Linked DNA regions of Notamacropus eugenii. Each later gene encodes a partner of the first gene's protein in a complex. Links are inferred from orthologs where the notes say so. Each region holds a gene or a part of one and is shown in the gene's direction. Other genes may lie near its edges.

The links.
Region 2: the proteins of ACTL7A (region 1) and TES are in contact, whole or in part, in a crystal structure (PDB 2XQN), measured with the Homo sapiens proteins. The link is inferred for Notamacropus eugenii from reciprocal best matches to the Homo sapiens genes ACTL7A and TES. Residues at the interface, in NP_006678.1 of Homo sapiens: Leu28, Gln29, Thr30, Ala31, Ser32, Leu33, Arg34, Asp35, Gly36, Pro37, Ala38, Lys39, Arg40, Ala41, Val42, Trp43, Val44, Arg45, His46; in NP_056456.1 of Homo sapiens: Asn311, Glu312, Tyr313, Thr314, Gln315, Ala316, Glu317, Leu323, Phe326, Leu335, Ala336, Gly337, Glu338, Ile339, Tyr340, Val341, Tyr353, Pro370, Glu371, Val372, Gln373, Arg374, Val375, Thr376, Tyr377, Ala384, Phe389, Leu398, Ile399, Gly400.

What each region holds. Positions count from the first base shown.
Region 1 is NC_092872.1:63,656,341-63,665,153, reverse strand, and holds the start of ACTL7A (actin-like protein 7A), read left to right. Parts: upstream 1-5,047; 5' UTR 5,048-5,269; intron 5,270-6,075; 5' UTR 6,076-6,217; intron 6,218-6,683; 5' UTR 6,684-6,750; intron 6,751-8,813. Other genes in the region: ACTL7B (actin-like protein 7B), read right to left, coding at 3,633-4,889. UniProt on the Homo sapiens protein: Essential for normal spermatogenesis and male fertility. Required for normal sperm head morphology, acroplaxome formation, acrosome attachment, and acrosome granule stability.
Region 2 is NC_092874.1:136,989,274-136,997,989, reverse strand, and holds the start of TES (testin), read left to right. Parts: upstream 1-5,136; 5' UTR 5,137-5,210; coding exon 5,211-5,243; intron 5,244-8,716. UniProt on the Homo sapiens protein: Scaffold protein that may play a role in cell adhesion, cell spreading and in the reorganization of the actin cytoskeleton. Plays a role in the regulation of cell proliferation. May act as a tumor suppressor. Inhibits tumor cell growth.

The sequences.
Region 1 (8,813 bases):
GTGCTTTAAATGCCAAACAGAGTTTATATTTGATGCTGTTGGGAACAGTAAACTACAAGAGCCCAATGAATGGGGTGAGGGGAACACCATCATGCCTTCACATTAGAAAAACTACTTTGGCAGCTGAGTGAAGGATAGATTGGAGTAGGGAAAGATAAGGTTGGAGGACGATTGCCATAGTTCAGGAGAGAGGTGATGTGATGAGATCCTGAATGAGTGGAGAGAATGGAGAAGTATACAAGAGATGTTTTAAGATTTGAAATTAGACTTGATATGTGGAGTAAGTGAATGAGAGTAAGGAGTACAGGGTGACATAAGAGGTTGTGAGGACGGGTAAATGGGAGGGTGGCGGTGCCCTTGATAGGAAAGTCAGGGAAGTTTTCCTTGATGTAAGGAAGAGGGAAAAGATGATGAATTCTGTTTTGAACATGTTCTGTTTAAGATGCCTATGGGACATCCAGTTTGAGACATTAAAAAAGGCAGTTGGTGATGCAAAATTGTAAATTCAGGAGAGACTAAGGCTGCACCCACATATCTGATAATTGTTTGCATAGAGATAAGAAGACCCATGGAGGCTGATGAGATAACCAAGTGAGATTGTATAGAGGGAAAAGAGAAGGCCTAGCTTTGGGGGGATACCCATGCTTAGTTGGGCATGACTTGGATAAAATCAAGCAAAAAAATTGAGAGAGGTCAGACAGTAAGTAGCCAGGATTACAGTCTGATCTACAGTATAAAAATACCAATGGTAAGTCAAGAAGGATAAGAATTGAGGAAAGGCTATTATTATTATACTTGGCAATTAAGAGATTATTGGTGTCTTTGGAAAGAGTAATTTCAGTTGATTGATGAAATCTTAAGTCAGACTGTAAAGCTTTGAAGAAACCAGTAGATATGGAGAAGGATGATAAGATGGAGTTGAAAGGATAGTAGAGGTAATTTGCTAGCAAAGTTAAGGAGGGGATAGGGTTAAAGGAGCATGTAGATAAATTGACCTTGTTAAGGAAAAGGCTATGTCTTCATCTGGAGTGAAGGTGATTATTGGTAAAGATGTCTCAATGATATGAGAGGAGAGAAGAAGGGATAGGTAGCTCTTTTGAACCTGCACCAAAAGCTGGAGGAATTTCAGATTTTGGTTCAGCAACCTGATTTCATTCTCTTCTGTTCTTGATTTTACCTTAAGGTCTGTTTCCTGATGTCATGCCCCCACTCCCCTCAGAGAATCTATGCTTCTGACCCCATCTAGGGGACCTAAGGCTTATTTCTTCCCCCTGACTTCTTCTCATCACTCTTTGCCCTTCTCTGTGCCTAGATTCCAATCAGGAGCCCATCCCTCAGCTCAGCAGGATGGGTCCAAGAGCTTTTCCCTGTCAAGCAGAGCATGGAACTGATGATCAGAAGCCTGAGGTTCTGAGTTCCAAAATATCGGACAAATCCTTTCCACTTTGGCCTGTGTCAATGCAAATTAACACCAAAGGACTCAGACGAAAAATAGTTGCCTTTTCTGTCAGGAAACACTTCTAAAACTGTTTTTGTTATCATAAGTCTAGTCACCTAACAAGCTCAGAGTCTTTATTGCATAATAAGCTTACTTCTCTTTAATAACTCAAAGGCTCTAACAGCAATAGACCATGCTTTCAAGGTTCAGACATGTTACATCCTAATCCAAACATTCTATACTTCCCTCATAAGCATGAAGCCATATAGCCAAAGAGATTATAAAAACTACATTAGAAAAAGTTCTGGTTTCCTGGGAGTTGGATGCCTTGGATTCCAGGCCTTGGATTGATAACCTGTGTGACCTGGGCAAGTAATTTCACCTCTGTAGGTCTCAGTTACCTCAGATAGAAATAATAATGTTTATTCTGCTGTAACATTTATTACTCGGGCCCTCACTACCTGAAGGTTAGGTAGGTTATATTTTGTCCTTCCCCTAGGGTTCTCAAGTACCCTTCTTAAGGAGAAGTGAAGGGGTTTTTCTAGGCTCTCTGCAATCAGTTCTGACCCCTCACCAAAGGTACCCCCTCTTGCGCAGTTCCATTTAATCTCTAACAAAGTAGCTTTTGCAAAGGAATGTTTCCTTCAAAGGCATAATAACAAATAGATAGACATACTCTCCCAAAATGTGGAACATAATCCACCTCCACCATTATAGCACAACCTCATACTCTGGAGGGTGGAAGTGGATTAGTTAACTCACTTATCTACAGAACAAACACCCAATCTCTAGTTCCAAGTCCAAAACCCCCATCAGGTTCAAATTCCAGGTTCTCTGCCCTCTCTAGTCTCCTGTTGGACAGCCTGGCTGCAAGCTTCTGCAGGAGTCCTGCCCTGAAAGGCATCATGGGTTGAAATGGTGGGAATCACCTCCAACACCTAACACTAGTACAAACTCCAACACCACCAAGCCCATTTCTCTCAGAGTCAGCTTAAAAAAGAGGTTGTACCGGTGAAGAAATTTTTCTACTCTCACAGCTTCATTTAAGTCATGACATCAAAGCTGTGGTTGAACAATGTGATCTTCACCCTCTGGATTCAGCAGCAGGGAGTGCAGAACAGAGAGTGAGTCAGAAAGAACGGCCATTTTAGTCTTGCCAGCATCAAAAATGTAGCCTTTTGGGTTATGCATCCAATCAGAGGAGGCTATATCCATTCACCTCTAGTAGGAGATGCAGAGCAGTTCCATGTTAGTCACTCTGGGCATGCTCCAAAGGCCCCTCAGGATGCCTTCTTACACCACTTGTCTTACAGAAATGGCACTGCTGACCTGGCCTGGAATCTCTGGCCATGAGCAAATTACATAACCTCAATGCTCCAGACCTTTCTCTAAAACCATGGTCTACAGATGAGTGACCAATCTTTATCAGTGGAGAGAGTTGCCAAATAGGGAGTTCCTCATACTGATGAAAATCATGAATCTAAACCAAAATACTTGATCGTAGATTTAGAGCCAGAGGGACCTTAGAGGCTATCTTGTGCAACCCTCTCATTTTACAGATGAGGAACTGAGTCTGACAGACGTTAAATGACTTGCTTAAGGTCACACAGAATTAGTATCTGAAACAGGATTTGAAACCTAGTCTTCTAGAAGCCAAGGCTAGTACACTATCCATTACATGATGTTACTGTGAGGAAAGAAAGTATTTTGTAAAAATTAAAATACTAAATAAATGATTATTCCCACCCCTCCCAAGTTGTGAAGAAAGCATGTTATATAGATTTAAAGGGCTATAGAAATGGTTGCTATGATCACTACTACCAGCGTCCCCTCTTTATTGTGAAAATAACATTTTGTAAAAATTAAAAAACTATATAAAAAATTAAAAAAATCATTACTCTATTAACACCAACAACACCTGAGCCCCCCCTTTTCCCTCTTACTACCTAGTTCCCTCAAAAAGTTCTTGGGAAAGCACTTTGTAGACTTCAAAGTACCAAAGAAGTATAAGCTCTTATGGCTTACTGGTCTCAATTTGCCACAAACTATCACAATGCCGCCATCTTACCAACTAATCTGACAAAAGCACCACCAACGCAATTCAGGGTAAAGCTTTATGTGAAAGTCGGTAAATGTGTAATGTGTTAACATTGTCATGGCATTGTTGCTTGGGGCATCTGGGCCTCATTGGAGCTTAGCATTTGCTGTAGATAGCAGCATTTCCTCGCTCTTCATATTCCTCTTTGCTGACCCAGAGCTGCTGGAAGGCTTGGAGGGAGGCTAGGATGGAGCCTCCAGTCCATACAGAAGTCTTCCTCTCTGGTGCTGCTGCCACGAGGGGACTGTCATTGGGAAAGAGTTGGCTCAGCTCCCTCTGGAAGCGGTCTGGGAAGCCATCCAGCATAGTGCAGCCCCCACATAAGAGTATATTGGCCATCATCTCCTCCTTAAAGGAGGCTTCACATTTGTTGAGACAGGCGGCGGTCACGGAGGGCAGGCCCTGCTGGCTAAAACCAGCTAGGGAAGGCTTGAAGAGCATTTCAGAGCACAAGAACCTTTCCTTGCCAATAGTGATCAATTTCCCATCTGGGAGCTCATAGTCCACCCGTAGGTCTTCGAGGGGCAAACTGAACTCTTCGTCCAGATTGGATGCCGCATAACAACACTTTTTCTTAATGTGCTCCATGATATGTAGGTGTTCATCACTGAATTTGTGCCCGGATTCATTCAGTAGCTTCATAAGGTAATTGGTTAGGTCGCAGCCGGCATAGTCCACATGGCCTATCAAGCCTGGCATGATGTCCCCCTCTGAAATGGGCACAACATGGGAGACACCATGACCACTCTCTACTACTAGTCCTGAGGTCTTGCCATAGGAATAGATGGACAGCAGGGACTGAGAAGCAACATGCATAGCTGGGATGCTAAAAGTCTCAAACATCAGTTCTGCATACTTCTCCCGGTTACTGCTGGGACTTAGTGGAGGGTCTGAAACAAGAATAGCATGTTCCTCAGGGAGGATCTTCATGGCTGAATGAAAGATATACTCCCAGATATCCTGGACACAGTCCCAGTCCACCACTATACCATGTTTGAGAGGGTTGACCAACTTGAGAGGTACTTCTGTGTTCAAAAGTTCATGTCCCACATAGGTTTCTTTCCGGTTGTCTCCCGAGTTGGCAGTCTCCAGGAAGTGCTTACCAACTGTTGATGAGATGAAATAGGTGGGCCTTGGTTCTCCTGCATAGCCACATTTACAATACTGGGAGCCAAGGTCGATAATTAGTGCTTTGACCTTTCTTGTTTTCTTTGGTTTCATCTTCATCTGTGCTGGTGTCCCATTATCCATGGATTTCCCATCTAGGCTCATTAACATACTGGCTTCGCCAGGATCACCTTGGGCAGTTCCTACAGGCATGGGCCTAGGGCTGGGGGTGTTCCTCGTTGCCATTTGCTTCCCTGACTCAGTTTTCACATCCACATACTTGAGATCTGTGGTGAGAAATAAGTAAGGCTTACGCTCTGATGGCCGTCATGGCGATCACTGTAATTGTGATGTAACAAGCATTCATACTTCAGAGAGTTTTCCCCTCCAGTGGTCTATATGATGTATTGAGGACATGTGAACTCTTCACTTAAAAGTTCTGATTCAGTGGGAAATGCATAACTAGTTTTTTAAAACTCCAAACACCATTTATTCAGAGAACCTCTCCATGTCTCTCCATTTTACTCCTTTGCTAAGAAGGGTTGAGTCCTCTAACAGTGTTATTAACACTTGTGTTCAAAGAATCAGATAGAACCAAAATTCCCCTGATTAATTTCTTTGAGAAGGTATAAAAAATGTTAGCAAGTCAAGTCAGGGGAGACAACTTGAGAAATGTTGTTCTAAGAAATAAAATCTAATTTAGTAAAGATAGTTGTAGTGGCATAGGGAATAAAGAGCCAGTCTTAGAGCCAGGAAGTGCTAGAATCAAGTGCCTTCAAATAGGTATTGGCTACGTGACCCAGGGCAAATAACTTCCAGTACTCTTAAGTGGTTCTCCAAGACTAGAAATTGCAAAGAAGATATTGACCTATATTGGTAGGAGTAGCCTATACTAATGAAATAAATCCAGTATTCACTCCTTTACTGTACTTTAAGAGGCAAAGTAGAGTAATGGAAAGTGAGTTCGACTTGGAATCAAAAGACTTCATCTGAGATCTATCTCCAATTGTTAATTGTGTGACCTTAGACTTTTATTTGAAAAAACTGAGGTTCAGGAGAATTATCTCTAAGAGGGATTGATAGTAATTAACTGTCCTGCCTGCCTGCCTCATATTGTGGTTTTGAGAATCAAATGAGATGCTGTAGGTAAATGTTCTTTGTGAAATGTACAACAGTACACAAATGAAAGCTTTTATTAATATTACCATTATCATAATCCTAATTTTTTCTGTTCTACTATATGGAAATGTTTTCTCTCTCCCCCTTTCGGTGTTCATAAATTCAAGATAAAAAGTAAATTTAAAAATAGCATTATTATTATGGTTAAAAGTAATTTGGCTCTATGGTAGCAACTAAAAACCAGAATAAGCAGAGTAGTTCAATAACTGTTCATGAAGGTTCATTTGGCTACATGATCCCTTCCCTCAAATAGTTTTTAATCTAGAAGGAGATAACGCACACACAAGTCTATCATGGAACAGGACATGCATAAGAAGGGTGCAAACTATATGACACCTGGGTAAGGGAAGATCATTTTCAACTAGGAACCAGAGAAGGCTTCATGGAGTAAGTAGGTAAGCATTTGAGACAATTCTTAAAGGATAAATGGTATTATTTTAACAAGTCTTGAAGACAGAGTTAGAGAAGAATATTTCATTTGCAGGAGATGATGTGAACCTAAAGGCAGGGAGATAGGAAAGTGCAAACTTTGTACAGGAGTCAGAGATGAGTGAAACGTAGGGAGATGCTTGAAGCAGGGAAACCAATTAGGAAGTTATTTCAGTACTTCAGGACAGAGGGGTTAAGAACCTGAACTGGGGTAATCTAGGCTATGTGAGTGGAGTGAAGGGCACACATGAGATAGAAACAGCAAGATTGGGCAGTTGTTTGGTTGCACATGTAGAGTTAGAGTGACTAAGTCGGAGGATGCCACCAAAGTGGCTAAAATTGGTGTCTGGAAGGATGGCGCTGTTCTCTACAGTAATAGGGAAGTTTAAAGAGAGATGGGTTTGAAAGGAGAAATAACGAGTTCTGTTTCAGATGTGTATGCAGAGTTCAAAATAATCAATTGGCAGTTGTTGATGCAAGCCTGGTGCTCAGGAGAGAGGTAAGAGCTGGATTCGTAGATCTTAATATATATATTAATATATATATATAATTGATATATAATAATCTGTTTAGAGGTGACAACTGAAGGGGTGGCTGATTAAATCGCCCAGAATGAAAGCATAGGATAATAACAGCTAACATTTAGATAATGCTTACTTATCTCCTTTGACCCTCACAACCCTGGGAGGTAGATGTTATCTCCATTTTATAGATGAGAAAACTGAGGCAAACAAAGACTAAGTGACTTGGCTAGGGATGATACGGCTAGTTTCTGGGGCCGATTTTTGAACTCTGACTTCAGGCCTGGCACTCTATCCATCATGCCCGGGAAAGGTCTAGGAGGTTAAGGGACTTTCCTGGTCCCCCGAGCTTTCAGTGCTTACCTTCTGTCTACTATGTGTAGACAGACACCTTCTATGAACCTCGTTTTTAACATGTCTCTCACACTGGAATGTTAGTTCCTTGAGGACAGGGGCTATGTTTTCTCTGTATACCCAAGCACTTAGCACACTATCTGGCACATAGTAAGTGCTTAATCAAAGCTTGGTGACCAAATGGATGATGAACTAGCAAAGGATGTTGCACGGTGCCAGGCACTGTGCTAGCCCTGAGGTTACAAAGACAAACGTGTCATAGACCTGACATTCTATCAGGGGAGATAATGAATGAATGAAAAAGTATTTAATAACCCCTTACTGTGGCACAAATCTATTGGGCCATGCATATCTACCAGGCAGGCTGGAGCTGTTGGTCTGGTGGGTGTGACAGGTTTTAACCTTCAGTCTCCTAGTTTTCTTCCAGGATGACCTCAAGCCAAATCTGCATGCAGGCTTTCCCTGCTCTGCTGGCACTATCTTGCCTTCCCCTAAAAAAAAAATTACCATGTATTTAAAATGTAAGGTCCTTGAGGGGAGAGGAGATGGTTTCATTTTTTTTCTTTTTAACCTAGGGCAGTACTGGTATAGCACATAGCAGTATGCACTTAAATGTTTTGTTGATTGATTATATCTAGGCAAATGGGGAGAGATCAGCTAGTGTAGGGGAAGGCAGGCTGAGTTCCTGATAGCCTACCAGGTCCAAGCAAGAGGCTGATTTCAAACCCAACAATGGCTGTCCCTTGCCTCCTGAATAATGACTGAGCATTCAAGTTCTTCCTTAATCTGGCTCCAAGCTACCCTTCTAGCCTTCCCTAATATAACTTCCCATCATGTACTGTGTGTTTTAGCCAAGTTAGATTATTTTTTCTCACTTCTATGCTTCTATTCTTACTTTCCTAAACCTGGGAAAAGGCAGACAGACAGACAGACACACACACACACACACACACACACACACACACACACACACACACACTGTCTCTCTCTCAGTCTCTCTCGGACCCCAGTGGAGACAATGCAGGATCTAAAGCCCCAAAGTGCTGGGAATAGCCATTTATACCCTCCCCACCATAGATAAGCATATACAGAATATATACACAATACAAGTGTAGTGGGGAAGAAGGGTGGGATTTGGTTCTATAGCCTCTATCCATGGCCAGTTGATGTGATCACCATAAGCAAAGGGGAATAAAGTCATCCTTTATAAAATGTGAAATTCTTCCTGATAGAATTAGAAAGAGAGCCTGGACATTGAATGGGGAGACAGTTTGACAATCTGAAAGAATTCAGGCCCCTCAAGTAGGAGACACATGCACACACTCTACATGAAGACAGACTCATTCTGTTTTAAGGAGCAAGGCCTCTGGCAGCAGAGTCCCAGAGAGAGAACTAGCCTGGCTGGTAGATTTGGTCTGCAGGCCTACAGAGTTCAGCTGGATCTAGGGCCTAGCACTGTGGATCCTAGGCCTAGGAGAGAGCAGTGTGAAGACATCTGGTGAAGAGGAAAGGACACTGAGATCCTGTAGAATCAGAGGCAGGGATTGTTGTCTTTGTGTGTTATCATTAGTATGTCATCAACACTCCACTTGTCCCACAAGCACATGGAAAGAATGCTTTGTAGTTCTTATACCACTTATCGAAAAAGGGAATCAGAATAGATGTGAGAGAGAGAGAGAAAGGGAGC
Region 2 (8,716 bases), on another chromosome or scaffold:
TGGAAGTTTTCTGTCTAAAGACATTATATTGCATTATTGTTTTGCCCTCTTAAGTATGACAATGTTTTTAAATGTAATATTAGGATTCTGGCAGTAGAGCTACGTGGTTTGGAATGACAATAGCGAGTATATTTTTTAAAAGCTCCTTCTTTGTGGGGGATTTGATTTCCCTCCAAATAAATTCATGATTCCTTTAAAACCTTTAAAAGGAACTGGCTTGTGTCTTAGATTTGTAAGCAGAGAAGCTTCTACTCCACATCTTCATTGTATCAGTAATTCTGCAGATTTTGACCTAGTGACAAGTCTCTTATCTAGCTTGATTCTTATCTGGGTGTCTCTGTAGGTTCTTCAGAGAGGACACACCAAATGGACTGGATATCTTCCTCTGCTTCTTTCAATATTTTGTGAAGTCTAGTGTAATACGTGGGCTACCCGTCTCTTACTACATGATCGTACCATTTTGGATTTTGGTCATTCATGTTCATAAATGTCTTTTATAGTATTTAATATCAATGCTAATTTATAGCCTCTTTATTTGTATCATGCATCTTTTAATGACCTACAGTTCAATCAGCAAGCATTTATTAAGCTCTTACAATGTGCCAGATACTGTGCTAGGTGTTGGGAGTGCAAAAAACGTAACTGAAAATAATGTGTCCTAAAGACATATACATTCTATAACAGATGCCAGTTTTGTTGTGTCCAACTCTTCATGATCCCACTTGGGATTTTCTTGTCAAATATACTGAAGTGTTTTGCATTTTTTTTCTCCAGCTCATTTTACAGATGAGGAAACTGAGGCAAACGGAATTAAATGCCTTGCCCAGGATCACACAGCTAGGAAGTATCTGAAGCTGGATTTGAACTCAGGGAGACAAGTGTTCTAGACTCAAGGTCCAGCACTCTATCCACTGCACCACCTAGCTGCCCCTAGGGGAAGTACATATGAGGCAATGTTGTGAGGGAACCAATCACAGTTGGGTTGGAAGACAAGGAACGACCTAACTAGGACCTGGTGGCATTTGAACTGAGTATAGTAAGAAGCTACAGATTTTAAAACATGGAGTGTGATCTTTCTCAGATGAAAGCTCATGATTTTATGCCATAAATTATTACCAGTAATATATTAGTGTTAGATGGTCTTTTATGGTAGCATGGAATAATTTGTCATCATTGAACATTCTTTTGGGTTTTGAAATGATGACTCATTCTTATATTTTCCTATTTTAATTCTGAGTCATTGAATGACTTCAATTTGAAGTCATTGCACCTCTAGCCAAGAACTGTACTCATTGGTGGCCTGTCCAACTGCATGCCATAGTGGGCAATCTGTGTTTTGTAGTTAACTTCTAATTTTTTGAAAGTTTTAGAAATTCCACTAAATCAATGATTATGTTTGATCCTGAAACAAATTAAATTTTTTTCTTATCTCGGATTAGATCTTACATGAGCAAAAAACTGCACAGTGTGAGAATGTGAACAGTATTTAGTGTTGTAAGGAAATAAAGGGAGGAAGCATGACATAGAAGACAGAATGCTGCTAGCCAGAAAGGCTTAGCTTCAAGACACATACAGTAGACCAGTCCCTTAGCCTCACCGTGTCCCCAGGCAAGCTTCTAAGACTATAAATTGTAGAGTGGTGGTGATTAGCATTGATCCTGGGTTTTCCTCTCTGGGAAGAACTTGTTGCAATGAAAAAATCACAGGTTCAATTTCCTTCAGCTCTACTCCCCACCCCCAAAAAGGGCAAATAAAACAAGGTAATCTAATATATGTATATATACATTCATATTTATAGGCATATGTGTGTATGTATATGTATATATATACATATACTTGCAGTTATATAATCATATATATACATTACCACTCAGGTTCATTACAATACAGACCCTCGCTCTAACTCCCAAAGAGCTTTAGCTCAGAACCTGAGATTCTTTGAAGGTTCCTATTTTTTCCTTTTATTCTATGCTTTTCTCTTCCCCATAATACCCAAGGAACCCATGAACCAGACTTTTCAACTGGTCCTTGGTTCCTGTTATTCAGTCTAAAAGACCCCAGCTGTCCAGGATGTTGAAATAAAAGGACCTTTGAAACATGAAATTTTAGGTAATGTGTGGACTCTGTCCCGGAAGCCTTTTCTCCACTCTGTTCTTTTTTGTGGTTAATCTCCACAGCTCCTAATGTTAAATTACCATTACACATATGACTCCTATATAACTGTCTCTCCAGAGCTCCAGTCCTGTACTTGCTAGACATTTCCATTTGGTTGCTGAATAGGCATCTCAAACTCAATATCTTTTTTAAAAAAGAAACTAACATAAACTCGCTCTTTGGTATGTTTTGTTGTCAAGCATAGCACCATTCTTTCAGTCACCCAAGTAAGTAACCTTGGAAATCATTCTCAACTCATTTTCCCTGACATCGCCTCCTTCACCATATGTAATCACTAGCCAATTCTTATTGAGTCCCTTACCACACTATGGCTTCTGCCCCCATGGACACTGCTGCAGTTCACGCTCTCGTCATTTGGCATATGAGCTGTTCCAGTACCCTCCTAATTGTACTCCCTGCTGCTGATTTCTCCTCTCTCCAAACTACCCTTCACACAGCTGTCATATTGATATTCCTAAAGCACAAACCCAATCATATCATGCCCCTGTTCGTTGAACTTCAGTGCTGCCGGGGGGAAAGAAAACCTTTTTTGAGGGGACATTTAAACCCTTCCACACTTTATCTTCAGCCTCTTTTCCCACACTTATTTTACATTAATCACTCTCATGCACTCTACATTTTAATCAAACTGGCCTACTTTCTTTTCTCTATACATGTTTCATTGCCCATCTCCATGCCTTTGTCTCTTCCTTTCTGCCATGTGTCTAGAATTCTCTCCTTTCTCTTGTCTATCTCATAAAATCCCTAGTTTCTTTTGATGCTCAGCTTAAATACCACCTTCTAAATGAAGCCTTTTTGGAATTTTGAGCTCTTCTCCCCCAAATTACTTTGTATTTACCTGTGTATAAGCAGTATTCTCACTAGAAGACTATCAGCTCCCTAAGGGCAGGGAATATTTCATTTTCATTTTCACATCCCAGTATCTAACACAGAGTATGCCCTTAAGAAATGTTTATTGAATTGAATTGACATCATATTACAGAAGCAAGATAATTTGACCTAGGAGGTCAGATTTTGGTCACAGATAGTAGCATGGAGGAAGGGTTAGGAAGCATGTGGAGAAAGTACTCTGGATGCTGAGGCATTTGAGAACATGGAATGGATAAAGAGAGAATGGATGAGGAGGAAATGAGCTGGAAAAATAGAGTTTGCTCAGGTTAACTGGACTATAGAATTGTGACTTAGGAAAGCTAGTGATCTCCAGATAGATTTTCTTATGTCCAAAGCAGTTTTTGGGGGTTTTTATTTCTATCAGGTACAATGCTGTGTACTTTATTCATTCATTAATGAGTAAAAAAAAAAAAAAACTTATCTAGCTTCAGTCTTTGATCTGATAGGTTAGGGGGAACTAACAGTATTGGCTTCCTAAGGGAGAGAAGACAGAGGTAAAAGTAATTTACAGTTTTTGCCCATACACTGATGCTATCACTTCCTGTCGCCATCAGTGTCACTGTGTCCTTGATATGATCCTTCGTTTGTACCACATCTCTTTGCCTATTAACTGGAAGTGCACTTGTAGGTAGGAGAAAAACAAACTCATGTGGAAAGGGCCCTGAAGGCAGGTCTGATTTCTCTTTCTTACTGAATTACTAACAGAGCAAGTATGAAAAAATGGGATGGGAAATTATATTTTCAGTGCCAAATAAAGTATTTCAGGTCAATATTTGTTTTCATTGTTTTCTCCCAAACCATGCTTTCTTTAAGGCAAGAGGCTTGTTTTCTTCATTATCATACCTCAACCATGTTTTCTCAGTGGAATTCCTTGTGCTCCAGGGCAGCGGTGGTCAAAATGGGACACAGAAGGTGGTCCTTAGGGTGTGTGGGAAGAAAATATTCTGTTTCTATTCTGTTTTATTCTGTTTATATTTATTCTAAAATATTTTCAATTCTTCTATTTATATTTTATTTTTATATAAAATAAGAAAAATTAAACTTTTCAAATATTTAATAAGGCAGGGGGCATAGTAAATGAGAGAGCTGGTTTCAGAGCCAGAAAGACCTGAGACAAGTTGTGGTTCTGACACATATTAGCAAATATTCCTGGAAGAATCACTTAACCTCGTAGTGTTTTAGGCAGTTCTCTAATACTATGCATTACACAGAAGATATTGACCTACAGTGTTAGAAGGAGTTTTATCAATTTAGAATTCCTCGTATCAATGAAATTACAAGTCTGATTCCTAGCTCTAACATTGAATATCTATATTGTTGGATAACCTGGTATTGGATAATAAACACTGACTGTGTCTCTAGGTCCCTGGGCTGGGTGGTCATATATCATGTAAACCCTCCCCACATCACCAATGGTTATGAAAACTGGGAGAAATTGAGTATCATGGCAGTTCCTTAGTAATTTGCAGTGAGATGGAGCATGCTCAGAAGCTGGGACAGGTTTGGGTTATTCAAGTAGTAAGCTTTGTGCTTGTCAGATGCCCTGCATACCTGGGCAGTGGGGTTAATATAAATTACTCCTGTTTCCTCAACCCCTTAAAAAGCAGGAGAGAAGACTATCTTGACTCATCCCTGCAGTTCTCCCTTTTTTTAATTAGAATTTTTTCCACTTAAGAAACATTTATTTTTTCCCTTCCAAGAAAAAGAAAAGCAAAGCTCTTATAGGAAAGCTATAGCAACGTCATACATAGTCAACTAAATCAAATTCTCATGCTCTAAAAATGACACATTCTGCACCCCGACTCTATCCCTTAGCTGGCACGAGGTGGTAGCGTTCTTTAACATTTATCTGGAATCATTGGTACTCACTGAATTGATTATAGTTCTTAAGTTTTTCAAAGTTGTTATTTTTTGCAGTTCTCTAGTTACTGTTTAAAATGTCCTGATTTTCCTCCCTTTACTCTGCATCAGTTCATATTAGCCTGCCCAGGTTTCTGTGAAATCATCTCCTTTGTCATTTATTACAGCACAATGGTACCTATGCATATGTCATAATTTGTTGAGCTATATCCCAGTTGGTGTCTCCCCTCATTTTTCATTCTGAATACCTCAATTCCCTAGGACAGCAGTTGGGGAAGAAGGAGATGGGTCTATTCTGTTTATATGAGGGAGGCACAGTAAGTCCTTTAATTCTGAAATACAGAGCCAATGTTGATTTGTTTCAGGAAAGTGCTAAGGGATATATCATTTGGGGGAAGAAATAGGAATAAGGAAAGTTCATGATGTGTCATCTTTGCTTTACCTAATTCTGCTCTCAAGATAGTCCCTAAGGGCTCATCTTCCCCTTTCCTTCCTCCATTTACTCTCCTCCTTTCGGTCCACTCTAACTAACTCTACCTGCTTAAAAAGATGAGCTCTGTTTTCATGACAGAGAGTAAATCCTGGCAAAATTCTTCTGTTTTCTGCTGCCATTGAGAACTAAAGGGGCTAAACTGTTTAGGAGGCAGGAAATTGACATGCAGTAGTAATTAACATGGGTAGACTGAAAGGCAGGAAGTTCAGACTTCATCCTCTAGCAATCTTGGGTGTGTTGTGAGACTTTGCCCTGGGTCTCTCTTCTCTCCCTCTGGACTACTTTCTCATCAGCTCCCATAGATTCAGTTTTTATGTTGTAGCAGAACTTTGGCCTTCATCTCCCACAACAAGTCTGGTTACCATCTCTTTTTTTTCTTTCAGGGGTCGTCTATGGGTAGCCCTGAAGGGTTGGAAGTGGGGGAGAAGGAGGGGTGTCTTTTCTGTAATGCTTTCAGCTTGATTCCCCCATTCCAGGGTGTTTTTCTCAGTTTGCCGCCATTAATTAACACTCTAATTCCTTTTAGTATCAACTTTTACAAGGAGATATTTACTTCACAGATAGGGCAAAAACAGAAGTACAGACACTACTAGATGAAACTTGGGGTGGGGCTGGAGAGAGTAGTCTCAGACTAGGTTTTACATAGAATTTTAGCGTCATAGAATTTAGTTTCTACATATCATTAATCCTACCAAGTCACCTTCCAAGTACAGCTAAGCTGCTAGATGAGTCTATGTCTTAACTAATGGTGGGCTTTTGCTCTTTTGAGCCCATTTGGTAGGATGTTTCACAGTTACTGCCCTTTCAAAGAAGGGTAGACACTGATTATCCCTTGGTGTTCACAGGCTTTTGTTTCCTAACATATGAATATAGGCAAAAGTTGTTCATGATAGAGAAGGAGGTAAACAAAGATATTTCCATTAGATATGACAGCAGAATAGGGCCTGCCTTTGGATAGCTTACATTTTACTGAGGGGGAAGTCACACATACAAAAATAAGTAAATATAAAAAATGTTTCAAACAAATTGGGATAGGGGATTGGAGAAGGAAGACTAACACCAGAGGAAAAACCTGAAGATTTCTTGAAGGAAAAGACATTTCTAATAAGTGATACTTTTTTTTTTGAGTTGAGTTAGTAATGGAGAGTAAAACAATACATTTTTCACCTATCAATTATCCTGTTCTCTTTAAGACTGGTGATTTGTGGAATTACAGTGTGTCAAATGTGCAGCGAGGTACAGAGTGGATAGACTGCTGGACATGGAATTTGACCTCAGTCATTTACGAGTAGAGTGACCCTAGGCAAGTCACTTAACCCTGTTTGCATTAGTTCTTCATTTATAAAATGAGCTAGAGTAGAAAATGGCAAACCACTCCAGTATCTTTGTCAAAAATACTGGCAAATGAGGTCACAAAGATTGGACACAACTAAAAAACGACTGAACACCGCCACATAGTTTGTAAATCCTTCCCATTTCATCTGTGACAGCCATTACAACCAAGTATTAGAACTGAACCTATCACAAAGTAACAAAGATTTTTAAAAAATGAAGCATTATTCACCCATATTGTTCTAACTAAAATGTTATTTGTGCCACTAATAAAGTGAAATTTATTTTAAAATATCTTTCATCTTTTTAGATTTAGTTTCGTTTGTAATATATAAATTGGTATAATATATATGTATTTATATAAGTAATGACAATATGTCTGCATTTCAGGAGTCATGCTCAAAAACGTTTTACTAATAGAGGCGTGGGATCAAATAGTTTGGAGGTGACTGCTGAGGGCATCGTCCTTTTGTAGTATTTTCCTTTTACTTCTACTGACCTGTTAGCCACAGCTCAGTTGAAATTGTGTCTTCCATTTTTTTTAACACTATACATCACTAAATTCATTTTAATTGGTCTGGAAAGAATCCTGCTAATTGAGAAAGGGCCAAAATAGAAAACAAGGGGCAGTTAAAAACAAATTTTACTTACCTGACATGCCTGATATTCTTCTATGTAGAGTGTCTTTACATAAAAATCTAATTATAAGAAAATTTGGCCTCACTTACCTTGACTATTCTATCACTTTTTTCTTTCTTTGTATAAACTTTATTTTTAATATGTGTATTTATTTGAGCAACTAAGTCATTTTGACTATTATAAATAAAAGCTGTCCTTGGAGATATTGTCCTTGGAGACATTTGAGGTTATGCTTGCACACAGTTTAAAGGGAACATTGGCTGGAACATAAAGTCAAATGCAAGATACCAATAAAATAATAAAAAAGACAGGAAGTTGGAACCCAAGGGGAAGAGTACCCTAATATTTATCTTTAGTTGTTGGAGAGTCATTGTGGCATAGTAGACAGCCAGGAAGATGCGAACAAACTGGCCGGTTATTCCTGGGCAAGTCACCTAGCCTCTGCGTTTACTGGCACTTCTCTCAGACTAAGCAAGATGGTGAAGTCTTGTCTGGTTGGTAGAGGGAGTTTGCTTTTCTGGGAATTACTTAGACCCATGAAATCACAGGTTCAGTTCCTGTTTCTATCCTTTGGTCCTTTGTCTTGAGGCAAGGGTGAACTCAGGCTTCTGTTTAGGGAAAAATGAGATGGTTTTACATTTTGATTCATGTTTGATAGCTGCTGAGGTTGGTCAGATATTTTGACTGCAAGAGTGAAGTTTCTCATTACTCTTGCTTTACTTTTAGGAGGGTAAAAAGGTGATGAAAAAGTCTTTTAGGATATTTACCATTCTGCGAAGATGACTTAAAATAAATTTATAATGAAGTCATATACACAGTAGGTATTAATACCTATTCTTAAGAAATCAGTGATACTGTCCTCTTCCAAGAGGAAGGGTTCTCTTAACAACGGGTGAATGACCAAGCCAAATCCAGAAGGAGAAAGGGAAAGGGAGGTGTTAGATGGGTTATTCGGTTTCACCCATGTCACAATTGGATTTAGGTGCCTGGTATAAGCCCCAGGCAATCAGATTTGAGGGTCAGACTGAAATGGCTTTTCCTTGCAAAAGGCCCTTCATAATTCAAGGTCAGAGGATTTCCTTCTAGATGCCATCTAGGCAAAGTGATTTAGTCAAGCCTTATTAAAGTATTCCCCTTACCCTCTCTCAGGGACAGAGCTGAACCCGAGATAAGAAGATATTATTAAAGCCAATGGGAACAAAAACCTAAATAATCTAAAATAATAATAGCTAACATTTATGTGGTATTTACTATGTGCCAGGCACTGTACTAAGCACTTTAGAATTATTTTCTCATTTGATCCTCCCAACAACCCTGGGAGGCAGG